3 linked regions of the Notamacropus eugenii genome follow. The protein of the gene in region 2 purifies or fractionates together with the protein of the main gene of each other region. This does not show direct contact. Links are inferred from orthologs where the notes say so. Each region holds a gene or a part of one and is shown on either strand. Other genes may lie near its edges.

Region 1 (7,154 bases), on a different chromosome or scaffold from region 2:
ATGCTACTGATGGTTGGCAGTATTGACCTTCACTAACCTCTTCCTCCAATGCCTAAATCTGGGCAGGGGGTAAAGTTGGCTAAGCTGCAATTATGATAGGGCACTGAGATTTTGTCATCTGGCTCTGAATTTAGCATTCCCACAGCACTTGCAGGGAGCCCATCAGTAAGTTACCACAGAATTTCATTAACAAAAAATGATTGAAACAAGATTCCAGATGGTAGGATGTCTCTAACCCTCCCTGCACTAAGGGCAGACTTCATGAAGCTGGTTCTAAGTAGTGCTTAGCTCTCATCAGTACATCCACTGGCCAATTCTGCCAAGCTGGGAAGTGTCAGACTTCATCGTTGGTGAAAGGAGCAGTCCCAGAAGGTTCTGAGTAGAGGTGGGATCTTGGGCCAATTTGGCCATAGGACCATGAATTTCCTTTCTTGGGTACCAGAAGAACAAATCTTCCAGCACTGGCCAACACAAGAAATACCTAACATGCAGTCATAATTTCTACCAACCCTCAGAGGAAGCTCTTAAGAGGGTTTATGTAAAAAATAAAGCAATGGTTATTAAGTTCATGCTGGGAATGTTTAAATGTTCATTGATCTGGGTATTCTCTTCAACAATACAGAAGGTAGCCTGTCCATCCCAGGCAACACATTTTGTCCAGATCCTCCCAAAAGTTCACCACAAGGGGTCCATCCAGCACAGTAAAAAACCTTCCAGTGGCCTAGCCATACCAGATCTAAAACTGTATTATAAAGCAGCAATCATTCAAACTACTTGGTACTGGCTAAGAAACAGTGGTGGATCAGTTGGAATAGGTTAGGTGCACAAGGCACAGTAGTGAATGACTAGTAATCTACTGTTTGTTAAACCCAAAGACTTCAGCTTCTGGGATAAGAATTCATTATTTGACAAAAAACTGCTGGGAAAACTGGAAAATAGTACAGAGAAACTAGGCATAAAACCAAGATCTTACACTGTATACCAAGAAAAGGTCAAAATCAATACATGATTTAGATAGAAAGGGTGACATCACAAGCAAATTACTAGAGTAAAGAATAGTTTACCTTTCAGATTTATGGAGAAGGGAAGAATTTATGACCAAATGAGATAGGAGAACATTATGAAATACAAAATGGATAATTTTGATTACATTAAATTAAAAAGGTTTTGCACAAAATCAATACAACCAAGATTAGAAGTGAAACAGAAAGCTGGGAAATGATTTTTATAGCCAGTGTCTCTGTTAAGATCTCATTTCTAAAATATGTAGATAACTGAGTCAAATTTATAAGAATACAAATCATTCCCCAATTGACAAATGGTCAAAGGATTTGCACAAATAGTTTTCAGATGAAGAAAATGTTCTAAACCACTATTGATTAGAGAAATGCAAATTAAAACAACTGAGATAACACCTCACAACTATCAGATTGGCTAATATGATGAAAAAGGAAAACATAATAAATGCTGGAGAAAATTGGAACACTAATGCATTGTTGATGGAGCTGTGAACCGATCTAACCATTCTGGAGAGCCATTCGGAACTATGCCCAAAGGACTAAAAAAAATGTGCATACCCTCTGATCCAGCAATATATCCCAAAGAGATCATTAAAAAGGGAAAAGGACCCACATGTACAAAAATATAACAGCTCTTTTTGTGGTGGCAAAGAACTGGAAATGGATGCCCATCTACTGGGAAATGGCTGAACAAGTTGTGGTATGTGAATGTAAAGGAATACTATTGTTCGGCAGATTTCAGAAAAACTCGGAGTTAGATAAACTGATGCTATATGAAGTGAAAAGAACTGGAACCTTGTACACTGTCACAGCAACGCTGTGCGATGACCAACTTTAATAGGCTTATTTTTTCTCAGCAATGCGATGAATCTAAGAGAACTCCAAAAGACTCATGATGGAAAATGTTATTATTCACATCCAGAGAAAGAACTATGGCATCTGAATGCATATCAAAATATAGGATTTTCTCTCTTTTTTGTGGTTTTTTCTCTTTTGTTCTGATTCCTTTTTCACAACATGACCAATGTGGAAATATGTTTAATATGATTGTACATGCATGACCTATATCAGATTGCATGCAGTCTTGTGGAGGGGGAAAGAGTGGGAGGGAGAAAAAGAACTCGAATTCTTCTAAGATTGAATGTTGAAAACTTTCTTTACATGTAACTGGAAGAAGTACAGTACTATTAAGTGGGTGGAAAAAAATGAAAACCTTCCATCCAGTGGAAGGTATCCCTCATATACCTGTCATCTGTCATGTAATTCTTTGATGTCCTTTACCACTGTTACTTGGGATCCCTTGTTGGTTAGATGTCACCTGCCTGCTTGTGCCTACCATGTGCTCTTCTGGTGCCCCTGATGTGATACTAATGTTTAGTTCTTCAAAGACAATGGGCTTTCAGGTCTTGTTGTGATACAGCAGCATTGGTCCAATGTTAAAAAGACTGACCCTTTGCTATTATGGGAACCAATCAGTTGGTAAAAGAACCTTGCAATTTCCCAAAAGCAATCTAATTTTCCTTTTTCTTTTCAAATCTGGATCTAGCTCATGGTGCATTTATTGTTTATCTCAGAAATACATCCTGTTGGTCAAGCCCTGTAGATTGCCAATCCAGATGTATGTCAAAATCTGAGCAATACCCTGTCTTCGCCTACTTGATCTTTCCTGGATGAGCGAACAGATCAAATTCTTCTAGATAGTTAAAAGATCTCTTCCAGGAGATTCTGCAAAGTCTTTGGTTCGATGCAATCAACATGTCACTCTCAAACAGGAATGTCAAAAGGACCTCACCATTCCAAAGGACTCTTTGTGGATCAACATCAGGAAGGCAAATATTTGAGGCAAGAACACATCTGCCTATTTTATGCCACACTGGGTGTTTCTGACCAGAGAGCCACTGAATAGGGTTATTTCTGTTGATGCATCTTAGAATCTTGAATGAGCTTAATGTAGAGATAGGATACACCTAGTTAAACAGTAGCCTGTAGGGGAGGTAGGGGGGTCCAGGAAGCTTTTACTCCAGTGGAATTCTAGTGGAATGCTTTTTTTAAATCAATGAACACAAGGGAAGTTTATAATCCCTTACCACTGTATTGCCTCCACAGCAGCTCTCCTTTCTCTCTCTATACATATGTGTGTCTATATATAAGAAAAGAATGTTTTATTCATTTTTGCAAATCTTTTCTCTTTTCCCTCTCTCTGTGGTCTTCTTTCCACTTTCATTTTTTAATTCCCTCAGTATGACTTTGCTCAGTTGGAAATCTTGCCAAGCTTTCTTTAGACTGGTTTTACCCTCCACTGCTATCTCTGTCTGCTTCATGAGACAATTCTGCTCATTCACCATCATCCTCTGTAAGATTTTACAAACGAGTTTATATTCTAGACATGTATTGCCTTCCCAAGGTATTTGTTTGGCAAATAAGTCCAGTGTTTTCTAAGATGTTTCTTGGCTCCCTCGGTCTCCTTGTTTCTAGCAATTAATTTACATTGGTTTAACTTCTGACTTGAAGTCAATAGACCCTGTAGGACATTCATGTTTCATTTTTTGATTTTTCACAAACTCAGGGTTTTAAATAATTCAGACTTTTCAACCACTCGAGGGTTAAATCTTAAGTATTTTTTCATCTCTATTCTCCCCTGTGGAGATCGAGCTGAGCCAGCAGGTGGGGGGCTGGCACTGCAGGGTACAGAGAGACTGGATGAGTGGTCTTGTTGAGGTCTGGGAACCATGAGGTTTGGGGTGCTGGGGACCCCAAAATACCAATACGCCAGGTCCCATCGAATGAATTTAACGCAAGACTTCTTCTAGCCAAAGTAAAACAAAGTTTATTAAAGGTTCACCGTATGGGTGACATCAGTATTGACAAGTGGGCCAGAGAGAATCTGAGCTACAAAGCTGGAGCCGGATTGAATCTGAGCGCCTTCATGGAGGCGAGATGGAACTTATGTACAGAAAGACCATGGGCAAGATCTGAGGAGGATCTTGATGAGACTGGGGTAACTAGGGAAGTAGTCAAGGGTGGCACCAGCTGGAGGCACGTGGGTGGCAAGTAATCAAGGATGGAGGAGGCGAGGTTAAGGGTAACGGATCAAGTGTGGCACCGGGATGGCTGCCGGGTCCAGGCGCCACGCTTCCCTCCATGCTCCCCGCTGCCAGCCCGCCTCTCTGTGCCCAGGCTGTATTCCGGGCTCCACGTGCTGGGCAGCAGAGCGGGCAGGGGCGTTCTCACACTGGCCACTACCCAGTAGCTGAGACAGGGAGGATTCACAGAGATGTAACTGAACCCGTTGGATCCGCAGGGCAAGCCCACAGGAGAAGGAGAGGGGATGGGGGCTGCCAGGGTGCAGAAGCAGGAGCCAAGGGGGTAAGGAGAACCTCGCACGCGCCCAACCTATCCCGAGCTGCGCATGCGTGCCCATCCCCCTTCCAGGCGCCATGCTTCAGCCACACAAAGGGTCCTTGCTCAGGCAGCCTGAGATTTGGCGCAGCCGCAGGCCCAGCCTGGCGCATGCGCCTCTCGGCCCGGATGCGTTGGGAGGGGGAAAGAAGAGAGGCGCCACGGCGAAAGCGCAGTGACGAGCGGGCGCCGGAAGCCTCGGGCCTGATTTCCCGTCGGGCGTTGGGCCAGAGGACCAGAGCACAACGGAAACGGCGCCTACTGGTTTCCGGCAACAGCCGCCGAGGGGCGGCCCGTAACCCGGAAGAGCTCGCATTCCGCGTCAGGGCCGGCGGTGACGGCGGCCGGGGTTCGGTGGGAGCGGAGCCGCCATGGGCTCCTCGAAGAAGCACCGCGGGGAGAAGGAGGCGGCGGCGGGGGCCGGAGCGGGGGCAGCAGGGAGCTCGGGCCCGGGCACAGCCGAGCAGGCGCCCCGGCATCGCGAGCATAAGAAGCACAAACATCGCAGCGGGGGCGGCGGCAGCGGGAGCGGCGGGGGCGGAGCCAGCGAGCGGCGCAAGCGCAGCCGGGAGCGCGGGGCCGAGAGGGGGAGCAGCCGCCGCGGGGGCGAGACCGAGGCCCGTAACGGGAGCGCGCACGGGCGCGAGCGCAGCCAGGCAGAGCCTGCGGAGCGGAGAGTGAAGCGAGAGAAGCGCGATGACGGCTACGAAGCTGGTGAGCGCGAGGCCCGAGGGGCGGGGCTTGAGGGAGGCGGGGCCAATGAACAGCCGGGGGCGGGGCCTTCCCTCCTGAGTGGGCCAGTAAGGGAGCGCAGCCGAGGTGGGGGTGGAGCTTGAGGGGCAGGGTCGGGAGTGTAAGCCCTGGGCCGGATCTTTCCCCACTCCCATTAAGTCTAGGATCTGCAGGGACCCGCGCAGACAGGTGGGGAAACTGAGGCACAGCTGTGGTTCGAGGTCGCGGATCCTGGGGCCGAGGGAGCGTAACTACCACTGACCTGCGCTAATGGGGGGGGGGGCTCCGTCGGTAAGGTGCCTCCTGGGTGCGGAGACTGCAACCAAGGCGGGCCCCGCGCTGGAGGAGCTTACAGTCTGGCAGGGGCGACGACATCACTGACTAGGGGAGGCTTCCGGGGGAAGTCGGGCTGGGGACAGCCAGAGAGAATGTCCAGAGCCCGGGGGGAGCCCCTGGACCTGGAGGGGAAGGGAGCTGCGGCCCAGGCCGTGGGTCGTGGGTGTGAGTTGCCCAAAGAAGGGAATTGCATTAGATGATGTTAAAGATCCCTTCCAGCTCTGAGTCTGGGGAGCCGCGTCATGTGACGCCAAATCTGGGTGTGTTTCTGCTGACTCTGTACCGTCAATGTTTGTCCTGGGCCCTGGCTGAGACACGGCTCCTGCCCTCATAGAGCTCAAGTTCATTAGGGGATGAAACCCAAAACTTTGATGATCCTGTGAATGCAGCAAGCATGAAGGTCAGAGGGGAAAGGTTATCAACAACCAGGAGAGTGTTCTTAGAGAAATAAGACGTTCAAGTCTGATTTTAAAGGAGGAGCAGGAATTCAGGAAGGGAAAGTATTGGGAATCACCAAGGCCTGAAGGTGGGGAGCCTGGAAATGTACAGGGATGATGAGTAGTTCACTTCAGCTGGAGAACAGGGTGTGGGTAAGACAAGATGCAAAAGTGGACCATTCCCAGCTGGATGAGGGCCTCATATACCAAGGAAATAACTTCACCCTTGACTCCATGTTCTACCAGGAGCTATTGGAGGGTTTAGACTCAAGCAGTAATACCTTGCTCTTACTTACCTTAGATTTACAAAATGTTTTCCTCCACAACTCAGGTAGAGAGAATTAGCACCATTTTACATGTGAAGAAGTCAGAGCTCAGGAAGATTAGAGTGGTTTGCCAGAGGCCAGAGTGGGGTTAGGGCTGGGAGAGCTGAAAGTGAAATGGGCTACTGCAGTGGGCTTCCTGCTTAGTTATAGACTGGACTGGAGGTCCCTTCCAGATGTGAGATACTTTGATTCTAAGTGGTCTGCCAAACTCTCTATCTATAAAACAGAAATCTGTTTTATGCTTCTCAAGCAGGGCTTGAGATTGGCAGATTTGGAGGGATAATGAAACATTTGTAGCCCCTGACTCTTAACTTGTCCTCTCCCAACCAATACAAGGAAGTGCCTTCCCAGGACTTCAGGGAAGGTATGATAATTCCTGCAGAGGAAAAGCTGGCTTGTGGAGCTAAAGAAGTTTTTCCCAGCAAGGGTTGGCCAGGGAAGTAAACACAGTCTTCTTGTCTACACCAGGTGTTGTCTGGGGCTTAGAACTCCTGAGTTCTGGGCTTCCAGATGTTAATTCTTTGAACTGTGGTCAGGATGCCCTCAAAGCAGCACAGAGGGAGCCTGACCCTTGTCTTTCTCGTTCTAGCCACTGGCTCCAAGGCCAGCTCTGGAGATGCCTCATCTCTCAGCATTGAGGAGACCAAGTGAGTGATGGGAAGGCTTAGTTCCCCAATGCCCTCTGACCTCTTCCAGCATAGTGTTCTGCTAATGGACCTAAGGAGGCCTTGTTACCGATCCTTCCAAATGAGTGCTGAGTAGCATCTCTCCCCAGTTCCTTCTCTTTAGTCCATCCAGAATTTAGTTGCCCCATGTTTCCTGAGAGCCTCATAACCGTAGCTATCTCTTTTGTTCTCAGTAAACTCCGAGCCAAGTTGGGCCTCAAACCTTTGGAGATCAGTGCT
Region 2 (7,894 bases):
AGCACCGTGTCCTTAAAAGTAATGTACCTGGAAAGTTTAGAAAGAATAAAGGTTTTAGGGGAAAGATAATGAGTTAAGTTTTGGACATACTGAGTTTAAGATATCTAAGGGACATCCAGTTTGAGATGTCTGTTAGGCAGTCAGAGATCCCAGTTTGGAAATTAGAAGATAACTGGCTATCTAGGAACTGATGAAATAGTACAGAGAAACAGAAGAGGGCCCAGCAGAGGCTTACAGGACATCTCAGGGGCATGAGCTAAACAAAAATTCAGTAAAGAAGACTGAGGTAGTCACACAGATAGGAGAACCAGGACAGAGCAGAGTAACAAGAAATCTGGAGAAGAGTATTAAGAAGAAAGTTTATCAAAGGCTACAGAGAAGTCAAGAAGGATGAAGATTGAGAAAAAGCCATTAGATCCTACAGTTAAGAAATAATTAGTAATATAGCTAGCTAGCATTTATATATAGCTTGAAGATTTGCAAAGGTGCTCTACAAGTACCTTATTTTGCAAGAACCTAAAACATTCCCATGGACTCTTGAGGCAAAATGCCTTCCACATGCAGAAAAAGAACTATGGAACAGGATCACAGAATGAAGCAGAATATTTTCTCTTCTGTTATGTTTTGGTTTTTCTCACGGTTTCTCCCATTCATTTTAATTCTTCTATGCAACATGACTAAGGTGAAAACGCATTTCATAAAAATGTATGTGTAAAACCCATATAAGATTGCGCACAGTCTCGGGGAGGGAGTGGAGAGAGAGGGGGAAGAAATCTAAGATTTATGGAAGTGATTGTAGAAAACTGAAACAAAGTAATTTAAAAAAACCAAGTACCTTATTTTATCTTCAAACCAACCCTGGGAGATAGGCAGTTTTATACTCCCCATTAAGGCAGGCAGAGAGATGAATTAACTTGTACACACAGCTATTAAGATTCTGAGGTTAGGTCTGAATCAGGTCTTGCTCATTTCCAGGGTCCAGCGCTCTATCCACTGCGCCTCCTGACTTTCCAGGAGCAGTTTCGGTTGAATGAGGTAGGAGGGAGTGCACTTCAGGTACGAAGATGGCTAATACAAAGGCCTTACACATGAAAAGGAGCAAGGACCACAGCGAGTGAGGCTGGAAGGACCAAGCGAGGGCTGGTGGTGAAGGAGCCGCGCCTGGGGCTGAGGCGGAAGCCCACTTCCCGGTGTTCGGGTCCCAGCCCGCTCCAATCACTTCTCTTTTGGTAAGGACGCGATCAGACTTTCCATTTGAGAAGCCATCAGAAAACCAACTAAGTGAGGGGGAACAAAGGGAAATCCTTGTTCTGTGTGCAAGGTGCTGCAAATACACCCCAGGTAAGAACTACCCTCGGGGAACTCGCTCAGTACTGGAGGACTCCAACACACCAACATGGCACACGCAAGTGGGTCTCCGACAAGGGAGGTCTACTCACACGGAGAAGTCCGTTCACAGTGGGCCTCCCACCGGCCCGGCCCAAGCTCCGGGGCTCACTTGACCCCTTCACCAGGCTGACCCTCCGCACCGCGGTCCAGTCCCGGGGCCCGCCCCGCTCCCCACCCTCCCTCCTCCGCGCGCCCCCGGCCCCGGGCGCGCCCCGCCCCCCACCGCCGGCGCGAGGCCCGACCCACACACGAAGCGACCCAGGCCTCAGGCCTCGCGGCCGCTTTCTTCTCCTCGTCCCCCTCCTCCTTCCCTCGCTCCTGGGGAGAGCTCCTCCTCCTCGTCGCGAGCCCCGTCCTCCCCCGCTTCCCCCCAAAACTCAAGGCGTCCGTTTCCGCCTCCTCACCGACCTCCTCACAGAAACAACAGGCGCCTCCCGGCGCTAGCGCCACGAGCCGCTCCGCCGTTATCTTCTTCGCCAGCTCGTCTTACCGACCCTCCGCGCATGCGCGCCACCGCGCCAGCTTCGATCTGCGCACGCGCGCGGCGGGGAAGCCCTCGCAAACTTTATTGACTTTGCCAGGGGAGACGCACCGAACTCAGCCATCAACAAAACTTTATTGCGCGCCGCGGGGGCGCGCTCTGCGGAAAAACTTTATTGGGGCCGCTGGCGGCGAACACGGACAAAACGGAGCCCTAAGGGCGGGGAGGAAGGGAGGAGCGGAGTGGGGAGCGGCGCGGCTGGGCCTGGCGGGCCGCCGGAGGCCGGAGCCGCAGCCCAAGCAGGTTCCCGACTTGGCCGCGGGGCCTCCCACCTCCCTTCGTCGTCAGGATGCGGTACAACGAGAAGGAGCTCCAGGCGCTGTCCCGGCAGCCGGCGGAGAAGGCGGCGGAGATCGGGATGCGGGTCCCCAAGAAGGGCAGCGGTGAGAGCCGAGGGGAGGCCGGCCTGCCTAACCCCCCCCGTCTATGACCCCCCCCAGGATCTCCCTCAGCCCCCCTCACTGAGCCCTCCGCACTCCCCGGGGTCACCCCTGCGTTCAGAGCCTTCCAGACTACCAGCCTTAGCACTCCCTGAATCCCTCCTGTCCGACCCCCCGCTGAGCCCCCCAGGGACACCCCGCGAGTCACCAGGCTGAGCCACCCTGACAGTCCCCTCCCCAGCTTCAGCCCCACCAATGAGCAAACCTGCCAGCCCCTCCTCCAGCCCCCCCAGTCCTGCCAGGGTCCTGTCCATGGTCACAACCTACGGCGCCCCCACTCTGCACCCCCGTGTACATTCTCCCGAGATCCCACGCCCTGTCCCCAAGCCCACTCCACCTCCATCACCTCCCAGGCTCTTCAGCGGAGTCCTGAGGTTACCTCGCAGCGTGTACACAGCCTGTCCCCTCCATCATCCTGTGTGAGGTTCCCAGGATCATACCCCACTGTGCACAGCTTCTCACACTTCCCCAAAGAACTCCTCCCGAACCCCTCCTTCTCTGCTCCAGTGCTACACCACACAGGTCCTCCCATGAATTTCTGTTCCCTAAGTCCTTGAAGTCCTGGGTTCAAATACTGACTGATGTTTGGGCCCCCGGCCCAAGAGTTACTTAACCGTTTAGTTCCCTCCTCTGTAAAACTAAGGCATCACAGGAGAGAGTCTGAGGTTCCTCCTTGCTCTAAATCATTGATCTTGTTCATCTGACTTGCTCCTCCTTTAAACTATTAGCCCCCACCCCCTTTCCCTTCTGAATCCAGAAAAGTTACCCCAGCTTGTATACAGCGTTCTAAGCTCCCAAGTTCTTGCAAAGAAAAATCCCCACCTTGATCTAACCTTTCTGGTTAAACTACTCATGAAGCTGTAAAAATGGAATATAAACATTTGTGGGGAAAAATAATGGCTCCTGAGCTGGCTTTGCAAACACTACCACCACACCTTAAACAAACAGAAATAATGTCACTACCCTCCTAGGTGGCCCTGTAGACAGAGCACTGCACTCTGAATCAGGTGGCAGGAAGACTCATCTTTATGATGATGTCCAGCCTCGGCACTTACTAGCAGTGTGACCCTGGGCAAGTCACTTACCCCTGTCTGCTTCAGTTTCCTCATCTATAAAATGAGCTGGAGAAGGAAATGGCAAACCAGTCCAGTGTCTTTGCCAGGAAAACCCCAGATGGGGTCATGGAGAGTTGGACATGACTGAAATGACTCGACAGAGGAGCAGCAAGAGCCTTCTAGAGCCACAGTCCTAAACAGGTTTCCTTCTTGGAGGTCTGAACCTCCAAGCTCAGCAATCCCCAGACAGAATCTTCCTGTGTAACCTCTCCTTAGGCTCCTCCAAGCCCTCTGCCCCAGAGCCTCCTTGTCTGGCCTCTATACAAGACTCTCCCACCTCAGCCCTTCCAGAGAGAATCCTCTCTCCCAGTCCTTCCTTGGCCCTGTCTTCCCACCGTCCATCCTACTCCACCCAAGGCGGCCTTCTCAGATGGTCCTGCTCCCAACTCTGCCTGGGAATGGGGCTTCTCTTTCTGGAGGGTATTTTTCCTTGGTCTGGATCTTGTCATTACTGATGAGGCTACAGGGGGAGCTGGGACTCAAGGAACTCCCCCGGGTGACTAAGAAGAATCAAGTCAACCCCTAAAATAGCTGTTTTTGGCCCTGCACAGATACTACAGAGTGGTGCTTCCCTCTTTGGAAAGAGAGGAGGGTGTGGTAGGACAGGAATTTGGATTTTTGGATTTTCTCCATGGCATTCCACCTTGTTTTACTTTCCTGTTCTGCCATCCAATCTCCTTAAACTAGTTCAGACTCTGCCCTCCAAGAGGCTTTGTGTTTTTCCCAAAGTTTAAAGGTTAGGGAAATTCTAGTAAAGGATACTGTCATATTTAGGAGGAACCTGAGGACAGGGTAGAAAGGCTGAGGGGAGAAGCCTGGTCTCACCTGGGCTCTGGGCAGGGGTTCTCTGGGATTTCCCTGCAAGTGCCCAACTTCCACATTGTTTTTTGATCTCTCCCCCCAGTGGTGAAACGGAGGCTCGTGAAACTGGTGGTGAATTTCCTCTTTTATTTCCGGACAGATGAAGCAGAGGTAGGAGGATCCTGGGACACAGTCTGTGATAATATAGAATCTCTTCTAAGGAATTTCCCATCCAATATAGCACCATGGAGTTTCTAAGTAGGGGAGACCTTTGTACCTAGAATATTTTGATCTGGAAGAAATCTTAGCAATACTATAGTCTGATTCACAGTGTCAAATATTCGACCCACCACACTCCCGAGTATGGCCCCCTCCAGATTAAAATATAATTGGGAAATATTGAACAAAATAAATAAAAATACAATAGAACATAGATAATGTTACTATATGGTTTTTTAAGTCAATATTTGACCCAGATAGTTTCTTAGGTATGCTATTTCTACTTGAGTTTGACACCATTGGTTAAACCCCAGGAGGTCTTTGATAGATAAGGAAACGGGCAAGAAAGAGTGACTTTCCCAGTGTCACCCATTGAGACAGAGATTGAGCTGGAACATGATCCCAGGTCAGGGCTTTTCCCACCACTGGCTCTTACCACCCACCCTGGTTATTGTATCACAACACAACCAGGGGAACAGGAAGCTTCAGTCCCCAGACGTTACATGACAGGCTTAAAATGTCACAGCCCAGCCATGGCAGAACAAGGACCATCAGCCAACAGGGATTTATCTGCTCAGTGACAGGTACTTAGGCTACAAGGACAGTGAAGGAGACAGCAGCTTGGATTCTGGTGGGGGAGACAAAAAAGTACGTTTGAAATAGAACATGAATAAATGCAAACATATGTCAGATAGTCAATGCACAGTGGTTTGGAGGGAAGTCCCTGGCAAAGGCTTCATGCAGAAGATGGTGATTGAGCTGCATTTTAAGGAAGACAGGGACTCTCCTGGGGCCAGGATGAGGGAGTACATTCCAAGCATGGGGGGGCTTCCAGTGCAAAGGCATGGAGACTGGAGATACAGAAATGTGGAGAACAGATAGTGATCCATAGTGGCTAAATCACAAGAGTGTGGAAAGGAGAGTCATGTGCAACAAAACTGAAAATATAGAATGGAACCAGGTCGGATAGGGCTTTAGAAGTTGAACAAAGGAGTTTATGTCGAACGATAAGGCCACTAGAAGTGGTGAAATAGGGGAATCACACTGGCATTTGAGGAGAATTACACTGGCAAACAGTGTAGAGGGCACACTGTACTGGGGAGTGGTTGGAGGCACAGAATCCAATTTGGAACTGTTTTAATAATTCTGGAGATAATGACAGCCTAAATGAAGGGGGTAGGTTATGAGTAGAGAGAAGGGGTCAGAAAGGAAAGATGTTGTGAAGATAGAAAGGGCAAACTCTGGTGACTGATTAAATATGTGAGATGAGGAGTGAAGAGTCCAGGAGGCTGCTGGGAGACTGGAAGGTTGATGGTACGTTCCACAGACATAGGGAAGGTTTATGACAGGGGTGGGGAACCTTTGGCCTTAAGGCCACATCTGGCTAATTCCTAAGGGGATTTGTCTGTGAAGTTTGGACTCAGTCAAAAGGTCACCCTCAAGGACCTAGAAGGCCACATGTGGCTATAGGCCAAAAGTTCCCCACCCCTGGTTTAGGGCAAGGAGTTCTTGACATTTTTTGTGTTATGGATCCCTTAGAATAATGTTTTTAAGTGCATAATGTAAAATAACAAGATTGCAAAAGAAATCAGCTATAATAGTAAGTTATCAAAATATTAAAAAAAAAGTTCACAGACTCCAGGTTAAGAATCCCTTGTGTGGGGAAAAGATGATGCGTTCAGTTTTAGACCTGCTGGGGTGAAGCTATCCTGGGCATTAGGCAATTGGTAATATGTGAAGCTTGGGAGACATTGGGGCTGATGTATATAGGTGGGAGCCATCTTCAGAATGATGGTAATTAAACCATCTGATAAAGGAGCTAAACACCCACACACTTGGGGGTGTGATATGGATGACAAGCCAACTAAGGAAACTGAGAAGGAGGGGTCAGACAGGTAGGAGGCAAGTCGGGAGTGTTGGGAATATCCAGGAAGAAGGGGTGGTGAGCAGTGTCACATGCAGTAGACGGGTCAAGAAGGATGAGGACAAAGAAAAGAAAATGAAGGGGTCACGGTCCCAGAGTGAGCATCTATGAACAGATAAACAAGTACATAGTTCTTTCTGACTCCACTGTGCTTCGGATATATATTATTTGCCATAGGCAGCCCCTCGTGGAAAGAGCCCTGGAACAGGCTCATAGCACATATGGGAGCCAGAAGAGATCTGAGAAGTCACCTGTTCCAGACCCCTAATTCTTCTGATGAAGAGAGTGAGCCAGAGAGGTTAAGCCACCAGAGAGTAAAGGTCTGAGGCAGGATCGGGCCAAGGCTACACCTTGGAGGCCAACCCAGCCCTTTTCACTGCCTTGGGACTTGCTCTGAGCCCCCATCCCACACAGGCTTCTTTTCTCAGAAGAAATGAGCTTGCAATGAAGTGTGCCATATTCTTCAGGCCTGTGATTATCTGTGCATCCCTGCATCCAGGGATCCTAATTTCCCCGGTTTAGAGCAGGAAGGGGCCTCAAGAGGGCCCAGCACAGTCAGGTGACTTCCCACAGAGGCTATCTCAGGTGACAGAATCAGGATTTGAACCTGGGGCCTCTCCCTCCAGATGGAGTGTGGCATTGTAGCAGCACTGGTTTGGAGGAAAATGAATCTCCCTTCAGGGATTGTGTCCTGGTCTTGTAGGGAGCCACTAGTGACGTGAGACTCACTCTGCTCAAGCCCTCTTTCCTGTTACCCCAGGCTGCCTCATGACAGGGTCTGAAGGGGGCAGAAAGGAGTCACTGGCAGGTGGGGATGATGAACTCAATTCTATTTATACCATCATGATGGGGGGGCATTTCCTGGAGGTTCTACCCAGAAAATTTCAAACCTGGGGGGACTTTTAAGGATGGGTAAATAGGTGAAGCAAAAGGAAATGATTGGCCCAAGGCCCCAGAGCAAGATGAGGGCAGTTCTGGAGCTTTCTCCCTGATCCGTGGCTTCCTTTGAATTTGCTGCATCCCAGCATTCTTGATGAGTCACAGGGTCCATCCAGCTTCACCTCTCGACTTCCATCCTCCCTTCCTTAGGGAAGTGGCCCCTGGAGGATAGACCTGGTACAGAGAGGCCCAAGTCAGTTAGTAATCTACAAGCCTGCTATGTTCTGGGTGCCAGTTGTCAATGGTGTGGCAAAAAGCACACTGATTTTAGACCTGCAAGTCCTAAGTTTCAATCCTAAGTCTGTTACCTGCCAGCTGATTAACCCTTTACAAAGCTCTGGAGAGTTTCCTCTTCTGAAAAATGAGCAGTTTGGGCTAGATGACCTCCAAGGTCCCCTAGACTTCTGAGAAGCTCCAGGAGGCTGCTGAGTACTGGACCTAAGGCTCTGTTTGCTGGCACCATCCACAGAGCTCAAAATCCAGCCCCTCCCCCTTCTCCTCATGCCTGGCCTGGATGATCCTGAGG
Region 3 (7,971 bases), on a different chromosome or scaffold from region 2:
GATCAAATCAGTCAATACTTAAAGAATTAATTCAGATTATTCACAGGAAAGTAAAACACTGCAGGTGAAGCCTAAATACTTAAGCAACATATGAGAACAGATGAGAAAAGTTGTTGTTGTGTTCATATTTTATTTTTGACATCAGAGAAATGATAACATGACTTGCACTTGACTTTGTTTTGAGTGAGAGAGGGCTGTGCAGGTCACCAGCCTCACTTCTCCTCCAGAGTCATCTGAATTCAGTGATCAGATATTCATCAGGATGACTGGAGATGACCCAGAATGAGGCAATTGGGGTTAAGTGACTTGCCCAAGGTCACACAGCTAGTGAGTGTCAAGTGTCTGAGGCAAGATTTGAACTCAGGTCCTCCTGACTCCTGCACTGGTGCTCTATCCACTGTACCACCTAGTTGCCCCTATGAGAAGAATAGGGCTCACTGGAAAAGACCCTTATGTTGGGAAAGACTGAAGGCAAAAGGAGAAGAGAACACCAGAGGATAAGATGAATAGATAGTGTCATGTAAGCAATGAACATGAGCTCAGACAGACTTCGGGAGATAGTGGAGGATAGTAGAACCTAGTGTGCTATGGTCCAAGGGGTCATCAAAAGTCAGACAGAACAAATGAACAGCAATCTGCTCAGTTCACTCTGCATTAGTTCATATAAGTCTTTCCAGGGTTGTCTGAAATCATCCTCTTCATCATTTCTTACAGTACAGTAGTAATCCATCACATTCATATACCACAGCTTGTTCAGCCATTTCCCATTTGATGGGCATCCCCCTAATTTCCAATTCTTTGCTACCATTTGTACATATAGATCCTTTTCTTCTGTGTTTGATCTCTTTGGGGTATGGAACTAATAGCGGCATTGAAAGGTCAATGGCTATGCATAGCTTACTTTTTGGACATAATACTAAATTACTTTTTAGAATGGCTGAATCAGTTTCACAGCTCTGACAGTACATTAATGTACCTATTTACCCACAAGCCCCTCCAGCATTTGTCATTTTCATTTTTGTCAACTTTGCCAACCTGATGTGTGTGAGGTGGTATTTTAACTGACATTTCAGGTAGAAGTGAGAAGGTAGAGTGTTCTAGATATGGGTGACAACCAGTGAAAATGCCCAAAGTAGGTTGATGTGATGCAATGTCTTGTTTGAAAAAATACAAGGCCAGTGGTCCTGGATCAAAGAATATGTGGGAGAGAAGGGTGTAAGGTACAAGAAGTCTGGAAAGTTGTGTGTGAGTGAAATCGAGCAAAGGAATCCCCACCATTACAAAGGCAGGGACAATATAATTTTTCATATTTTTATTCTAAGTGCCTCTGATGGGACCATCTTGAGCACTTTTTTAGGATGATTTTTTGGTTTCCAACTTGTAACTTCATCCATGTAGCAAACTTCTGGTGAGGAAGCCACATCACATAAATTTGCAACTGTTCTCAATTTTTAGTCTTCTAGAGTTGCCTGGGGACAGTGAGAGGCAAGTCATTTGTCCAGAGTCAAGCCAGTGCCAGAGATGGATCTCTGCCCAGGTCTCCTGGACTCTTACACCAGCTTTCAACCTTTACCATGTGCAAGACTTCACAGTTTCCTTTCCCCACTTAATAGTATTTTATTTTTTCCAATTACATGTGTGAGAGACAGCAAAAGTTAAGTTTCCACAGTAAGTTATTGTTAATTAGTGAAGACACTGAGAATAAGTTAGATAATAAGGCCAGCAGATTGCAAGTGGACTCAATCAATCAAAAGACAGACAGCGGCCTTCAGAAAATTACAAAGTTTTTGATAAAACTTTGCCTACAGCTAGCTGGAACTAGTTAAGAAAACAACCTAAAGTTACCTGGAGAAGGTTTTTCTTCACTGCACTTGCTTAGTGAATCTCATGCATATAAGCAGACACACCCTGCATAAAATTATCCTTCCATTTTCTGATCATGGATCCTATGTTAAAGCATGTTTGGAAGGGGAATCACACTAAGGGGGGGTTAAGTAATAGGCATGTAGAGAAGATGGTGACCTAATGGAGAATGGACCAATCCATCTCCTGGTGGGAGGATCTGTCTAGAACTAACAGTATATAGCTCAACTGGCTTCAGTGCTCCCTCCTCCTGAAAGGAGGGTGGGAACCCGCTTTGGTCAAAGTGTTCAATTCCTCTGAACTCTGCTGTAATAAATTTTTCTTGTAACATCTAACACATGTAAAGATAGTTTTCAATATTCATTTTTGTAAGATTTTGAGTTCCAAATTTTTCTCCTTCCCTTCCTTCCCCCCTCCTCAAGGCAGCAAGCAATCTGATATAGGTTATACAAGTATAATCGTTAAACATATTTTCACATTAGTTATGTTGTGAAAGAATCAGAACCACAGGGAAAAACCATGAGGGGGGGGGGGATGTGAAAATAGTATGCTTTGATCACCATTTAGACTCCAAAGTTTTTTGTCTGCATGTGGATAGCATTTTCCATCACTAGTATTTTGAAATTAAGACTTTACCATGTCAGTAACAATTAATATTTATAAAATCAAATTCTTACTGTGCACAGAGCACTAAGCCAGAGGAAGTGGAGATAAAAAATTTAGATAAGACATAGTCTCTTATGGAATTTACAGCATAATGGTCAAATCAAGCTCTTACTATGTGCCAGGTACTTTATCCCCACCAAGTGTTGGAGATAAAGGTAAAAGACAAACCTTGCTCTCTAGAAGTTCCCTGTTTAATGGAGGAGACTAATTGTACAGGTCTATTTATAAACAAGGGGTAGGCAGGATGAACTGGAGGTGATCTCAGAGGGAAGGGATTAACTTTAAGGAGGATTAGAAGAACAGCCTTCTTGCAAAAGGTGAGGTTTTAGCTAGGGCTTGAAGGAAGCTAGGAGGCAGACAGGAGAAGGGAGAGCATGCCAGGCATGTGGGACAGTCAGAGAAAATGCTTGGGGTGGATGGATCATTTTTTTTTTTTTATCTAGCAAGGAGGCCAGTATGTGAAAGGGAGAAAGGTGTAAGAGGCCTGGGAAAGCAGGAAGGCATTAGGTTACAAAGGACTTTACAAGCCAAACAGGTGATTTTATATTTGAAGCTGGAGATACTAGGGAGCTACTGGAATTGACTGAATGTGTGGGGATGGAAGAGAGATAAATGAAGTGGTCAGACCTGTCACTGAGCACTGACAGTTGAGGGGAAGATGGAACGAAGAGAGATTTGAGGCAGGGAGACCAATTAAAGTAGTAAGATATGAAACCTCATAATAAGTACAGTAAGACAGAAAACATTAACATAGATAGTTATGATGAATGATATTACTTAAGAGAAATAGTCCTTACAGCTGTAGAAAATAATATTTCTTCACCATAGTATTTTTAAATTTAAAATTTTTTAAATTTAAATTTAAAATTTATTCCCCAATTACATGTAACAACATTTTTTTTTTCAAATTTTGAGTTTCAAATCCTCTCCCTCCCTCATTGTGAAGGTAAGCAATTTGACATAGGTTATACATTTGCAGTTATGTAAAACATATTTCCATGTAAGTCACACTGTGAAAGAAAACAGACAAAAAAGGAAAATAAAGAAAAAGTATGCTTCCATCTGCATTCAGATTCCATCAGTTCTTTCTCTGGAGATGGATTGTGCACAATAGTACTTTTAAAAAGCGCTGTATGAGATCAGTGAAAAGGGTGGGGGGTGACTTAACAACAGGGAAGACTTCAGAAACCTTCATATTCCTCTTAGTATGTAGAACCTAGCCTAGGGTCTTGAACACGATAGGCACTTAATAAATGTGAGTTCGGCAATTATAATAATATCTAATACTTAGAAAGCAATTAACATTTTGTAAGCACATTATATCCCTTATCTCATTTGAGCCTCTCAATAATTCTATGAGGTAAGTGCTACTGTTTAGTTGTTCCTCACTCTTTGTGATCCCATTTGGAACTTTATTGGCAAATCCAGAAGTGGTTTGTCATTTCCTTCTCCAGTTCATTTTACAGATGAGCAACTAAGGAAAACAGGGTTAGGTGATTTGCTTAGAGTCACACATCTAGTAAGCCTCTCAGGCCAAATTTGAACTCAGGAAGATGTGTTCCCTGACTTCAGATCCAGTACGATTTCCTCTATGCTACCTCCTGCCCATGCATTAAGTATTACAAGTGTCTCTTTTTAAAGGTGGGTTACGTGACTTACCCAGGGTCACTTTGCTACTAAGTATCTCAAATGGGCATTCACAGCCAAGACTTCCAGACTTCACTATGGTAACATTTTCTCTCTTTAATAATAACAGCTAGCGCTTATATATTTATATATTCAAGATTTGCAAGCACTTAAAATTGAATAAATGTTATTAGTTAGATAAGAATCGTAGCTGACATTTATGTAACCATTTGTAATTTGCACAGCTCTTGACAAATACGTTCTCTTTTGATTCTCACGCTTGGAGGTTGGTGTTATTATTATTTCCCCCACTTGACATCTGAGGAAACAAAAGCAGACAGCAGTAAGTATCTTTCGCAGCATCACCCGCTACTAAGTAGCTAAATTAGAACTTGAACTCAAGCCTTCCAGACTCCAGGTCACGTGCACTTGTACGTCCTCAGGAGGGACTAGGAAGCTTAAAGGCTAGCTAGATGACGCAATGCTTTCTGAGTGTCACTGGCATATTTGGAAGCTCTACTTCACCTGGCCAGTGGCATTACAGACCTGCGTACACATGCACCTCTATGGGGGCTAAGGTGGGCGCACGGGTCCACAGCTAAGGATACAAATAAAAGACGGACTGGGAAGCTTTTGTCATTCTTTGATCCACTGGCTGTTCAGCTCTTAGGTCGGCCGCCTCACACGAGAGCTGCCAGTCCAAGACCCAGGCGGGCAGGCGCGCTGTGGAGCCCTGCCTGGGCACTGGGAAGAGGAGACTGTACCAGCGGTGTGTACTAGCCCTTTAAGAGGACGCCCCGGAGCGCCGGGGGGCGGAGCCTGAGTCGACGCTAGGCCGCTGTCACGTGTGTCGGCGTCAGAGACCTCGGGGGTCACGTGGTGGCTGGGTTGGGGAAAATGGCGGCTTCGGGGGAAAGTGGGGCCTCGGGCGGCGGCGGCGGCAGCACCGAGGAGGCGTTTATGACCTTCTACAGCGAGGTGAGTCAGACAGCGGCCCCGGCAGCGGCGATGGTTGCGCCCGGAGCTAGGCCCGTGGCGGCGGTGACGGCCCTGGCCGCTCCGCGAGGGCCTGAGGCCCGCTCGGGGTCCGCTGGCGGTGCCGGGCCTGGCGTAGCCGCCTCCTTCCCTGGCCTTGGGCCCGCCCTCCTTGGGTACCCCTTTCTCCCAGCCCCTACCCTGGCTTCTCCCCGTTCTTCTCGGCTCTGACTCCTCCTCTCCCTGCCTCCCTTTTTGCTCTCCTCGGGTTGTTCCCCCGACTCTTCTGTCTCTGGGTCCCTGCTCCCTCCCTCCCGGCGTCCGCTCCCGCTTCTTGTTACCCCGCTCCCTCCCTGCTGTCGCCTCCCCTTCTGTCCTCCTGCTACAGCCTTCTCTTGCCCCCCCTTTCCCGCTCATGCTGCCGCTTCTCTTGCTGTGGGGAGCAGCTCTTCCGTAGTCTTCCCCTGGATGTGGGGGAGCCCCTGGAGCCCTTTCCCCCGACAGCAGGGATGCCGGAGGGGAGCTTGGGGAGCCTGCCCCACGCCGAGGCCCTTGGTCGCCTCCACGTTCACACGGTTTGGCCGAGGAAGGACTGCGGTGGGACTCGCGGCCGGCCTGCGCGTAGAGTAGGATGTCAATTTCCTGAGGGCGGGGAGCGAGTGTCTCAAGCCTGTCTTTGTATCCCCAGCGTTAGCTCCGTGCCTGGCACGTGGTGAGGCCTCCTCTGTTGATTGGTTGATCTCATCTGACCCTCTCGGGTGCTCTGAATTTTACAGATGAGGAAACTGAAGCCGAAGAGGTAAAGTGACTTGCCCACAGTTGAACTTCTCATAAGTGTCTAGGGTGGAATTCAAACCCTGCCCTTCTTCACTCTAGAGTCAGAGCTTTGTCTCCTGCTCCACGGGTTCTTAGAAACCCAGGGCTCATGAACTTTTTTTTTTTTTTAATATTTTGGTAATCATTTCAACAAAATTGGCCTCCTTTGTAATCTTATTAATTTAATTTTATGCGTTTACTTTATTCTGAGAAGACCAGCCACAGGCTTCACCAGTCTGCTCCAAGGGGCCAAACCTAAAGAAAGCTAAGAGTCACCTTGTTACACCAGGTTTGCAGAGGTTGTTGTGGCATTTTTTGGGAGGGAGAGGGAGGAATTTGACCTCCACTCCTTTGCCTTCCCTACATATCACAGATTATGTTACAGCTCCCTTTTTGTTGTTGGGGTGGGGTGCAGTTTACCGACACATTTTTAAATCTTTTAGATTTTTAGATCCCAGTTTCACTATTTGGCTCAATCCCCTCATTTCACTTTGGAGGGAACTTAATACCAAAACATTGTAAGTTTAAAAAAATTTTTTTTTCTGCCTTAAAAGAAGAAAAGTTCAGGGTCCCTTAGAGCCTCAGTCTTTTCAGAATTGAATTAAACACTTTTTAGTACTAGTTATTCTACAAAGGTTAAGGATTCTCCTACAAACACAGTTCCACTTTTCAGAGAACAGAATTCTCAACACTGTGTTAACTTGTACACTTCTATTTTCAAATGAATATTGTCAACATTTCTTTGTGATTGGCTATGTTATAGTATTGCCCCCATTTTACAGAAAAGGAAACAGGCTGAACAAGTGCAAGTGATTTTTTTCACAGTCCCATAGGCAGTGGGTGTTTTTATAATTCATTTCAGTTATTTCCTATGTCCTGTGCTTACTATCCAGCACTCTTTTCACAGCCCTTTTTGCCTCCCCAGTTCTGATATCATAGAAGCTTGCTTCCTCAATTACAAACACTGGCTCCTGGTGTAAGGAACTTTTGTAAGGGAGGAGGGGAAGAAAAGGGGAGCAGGAACATTCCTGAAGCAAGAGAGGAAGAAAGGTAGACGTTTGGAGGCCACAGTGGAATCCCCTTCAGTGGAGATTAAACCCATTAAAATCACTTGGGAGAAATTGTTTCCATGACAGTTGACATTGGTGTGGTGGCATTGAATTCCAAAGGAACAGTTGAAGAGAAAGTATACAGAGATGGAAAGGACTTGGACTCAAATCCTAGTGCTTTTTTTCCTTCCTACTTGTGTGACCTTGTTAACTTCTCTGGTCATAATCTTTTCCGTAAAATAATGGAATTGGACTAGATCGGGGGCTCTTGATAGATAAATTTCAAGGGGTTTGTGAACTTAGGGAAAATAGCTACATCTTTATTTTCACTAACCTCTAGCCAAAATTTGCTATTTCCTTCAGTAATTTTAATAATTTTATGGTGAGGAGGGGCCAAAAGATCCCTGTTAGAAAAAATATTAGGAACCCTTGGTCTAGGTGCTCTCTAATACACCTTCTAGCTTAAAATTCTGTGAAGTGGCTTAGCCTGATCTTGAAGGGGTGGCAGGATAAAGAGTGCTGGTCTAGGAGTAAGCTGAACTAAGTTCAAACCTCATCACCATGACGGCTATAACTCAAATTACTTAACCAGCCTCTGCTTCCTCACCTTTAAAAATAAAGGGGTTTAACCAAACGATCTTTGAAATTGATTGCAGCTCTAAATTCTATTCCTTTAAGAAGTGACTTTGATTTAAGGAGCAAAGTTACTCTGGAGACACTGAGCATGGTTTTCCTTCACTTTCTCAAGAGTTCTTTTAACCTAAAAGGGTACTCCTTGCCTTGGGTGCCAAGTTTTATTCTATCTCCTTACTGGGACTTGATTATCTAGGCATTGATTAGAAAAATAGCTCTCCATGCTTTTATGAACTGGATAGGAAAGATCCTCCATGTTCCTCAGGGTTTTGTGTTCCCAAGGTCCTTTTTGTCTAAGTTTTGCAAAGGCTGAGATGATAAATAGCATCTGGGTTTTGAACAG

What was found. Proteins that work in one complex are often made in the same cells at the same time.
Region 1: the proteins of SF3A2 (region 2) and SART1 purify together in Homo sapiens (affinity purification with mass spectrometry; 3 studies listed by BioGRID and IntAct, with this or other methods). This does not show direct contact. The link is inferred for Notamacropus eugenii from reciprocal best matches to the Homo sapiens genes SF3A2 and SART1.
Region 3: the proteins of SF3A2 (region 2) and DNAJC8 purify together in Homo sapiens (affinity purification with mass spectrometry; 3 studies listed by BioGRID and IntAct, with this or other methods). This does not show direct contact. The link is inferred for Notamacropus eugenii from reciprocal best matches to the Homo sapiens genes SF3A2 and DNAJC8.

The regions. Positions count from the first base shown.
Region 1 is NC_092873.1:18,652,052-18,659,205, forward strand, and holds the start of SART1 (U4/U6.U5 tri-snRNP-associated protein 1), read left to right. Parts: upstream 1-4,147; 5' UTR 4,148-4,789; coding exon 4,790-5,132; intron 5,133-6,838; coding exon 6,839-6,896; intron 6,897-7,108; coding exon 7,109-7,154. UniProt on the Homo sapiens protein: Plays a role in mRNA splicing as a component of the U4/U6-U5 tri-snRNP, one of the building blocks of the spliceosome. May also bind to DNA.
Region 2 is NC_092875.1:64,094,167-64,102,060, forward strand, and holds the start of SF3A2 (splicing factor 3A subunit 2), read right to left. Parts: upstream 3,005-7,894; 5' UTR 2,750-3,004; intron 2,314-2,749; coding exon of another isoform or gene 2,220-2,313; exon of another isoform or gene 2,052-2,219; intron 2,019-2,051; exon of another isoform or gene 1,798-2,018; intron 1,567-1,797; exon of another isoform or gene 836-1,566; intron 1-835. Other genes in the region: PLEKHJ1 (pleckstrin homology domain-containing family J member 1), read left to right, coding at 2,220-2,313, 4,390-4,457. UniProt on the Homo sapiens protein: Component of the 17S U2 SnRNP complex of the spliceosome, a large ribonucleoprotein complex that removes introns from transcribed pre-mRNAs.
Region 3 is NC_092876.1:69,358,535-69,366,505, reverse strand, and holds the start of DNAJC8 (dnaJ homolog subfamily C member 8), read left to right. Parts: upstream 1-4,964; 5' UTR 4,965-5,052; coding exon 5,053-5,133; intron 5,134-5,818; exon of another isoform or gene 5,819-5,929; intron 5,930-7,971. UniProt on the Homo sapiens protein: Suppresses polyglutamine (polyQ) aggregation of ATXN3 in neuronal cells.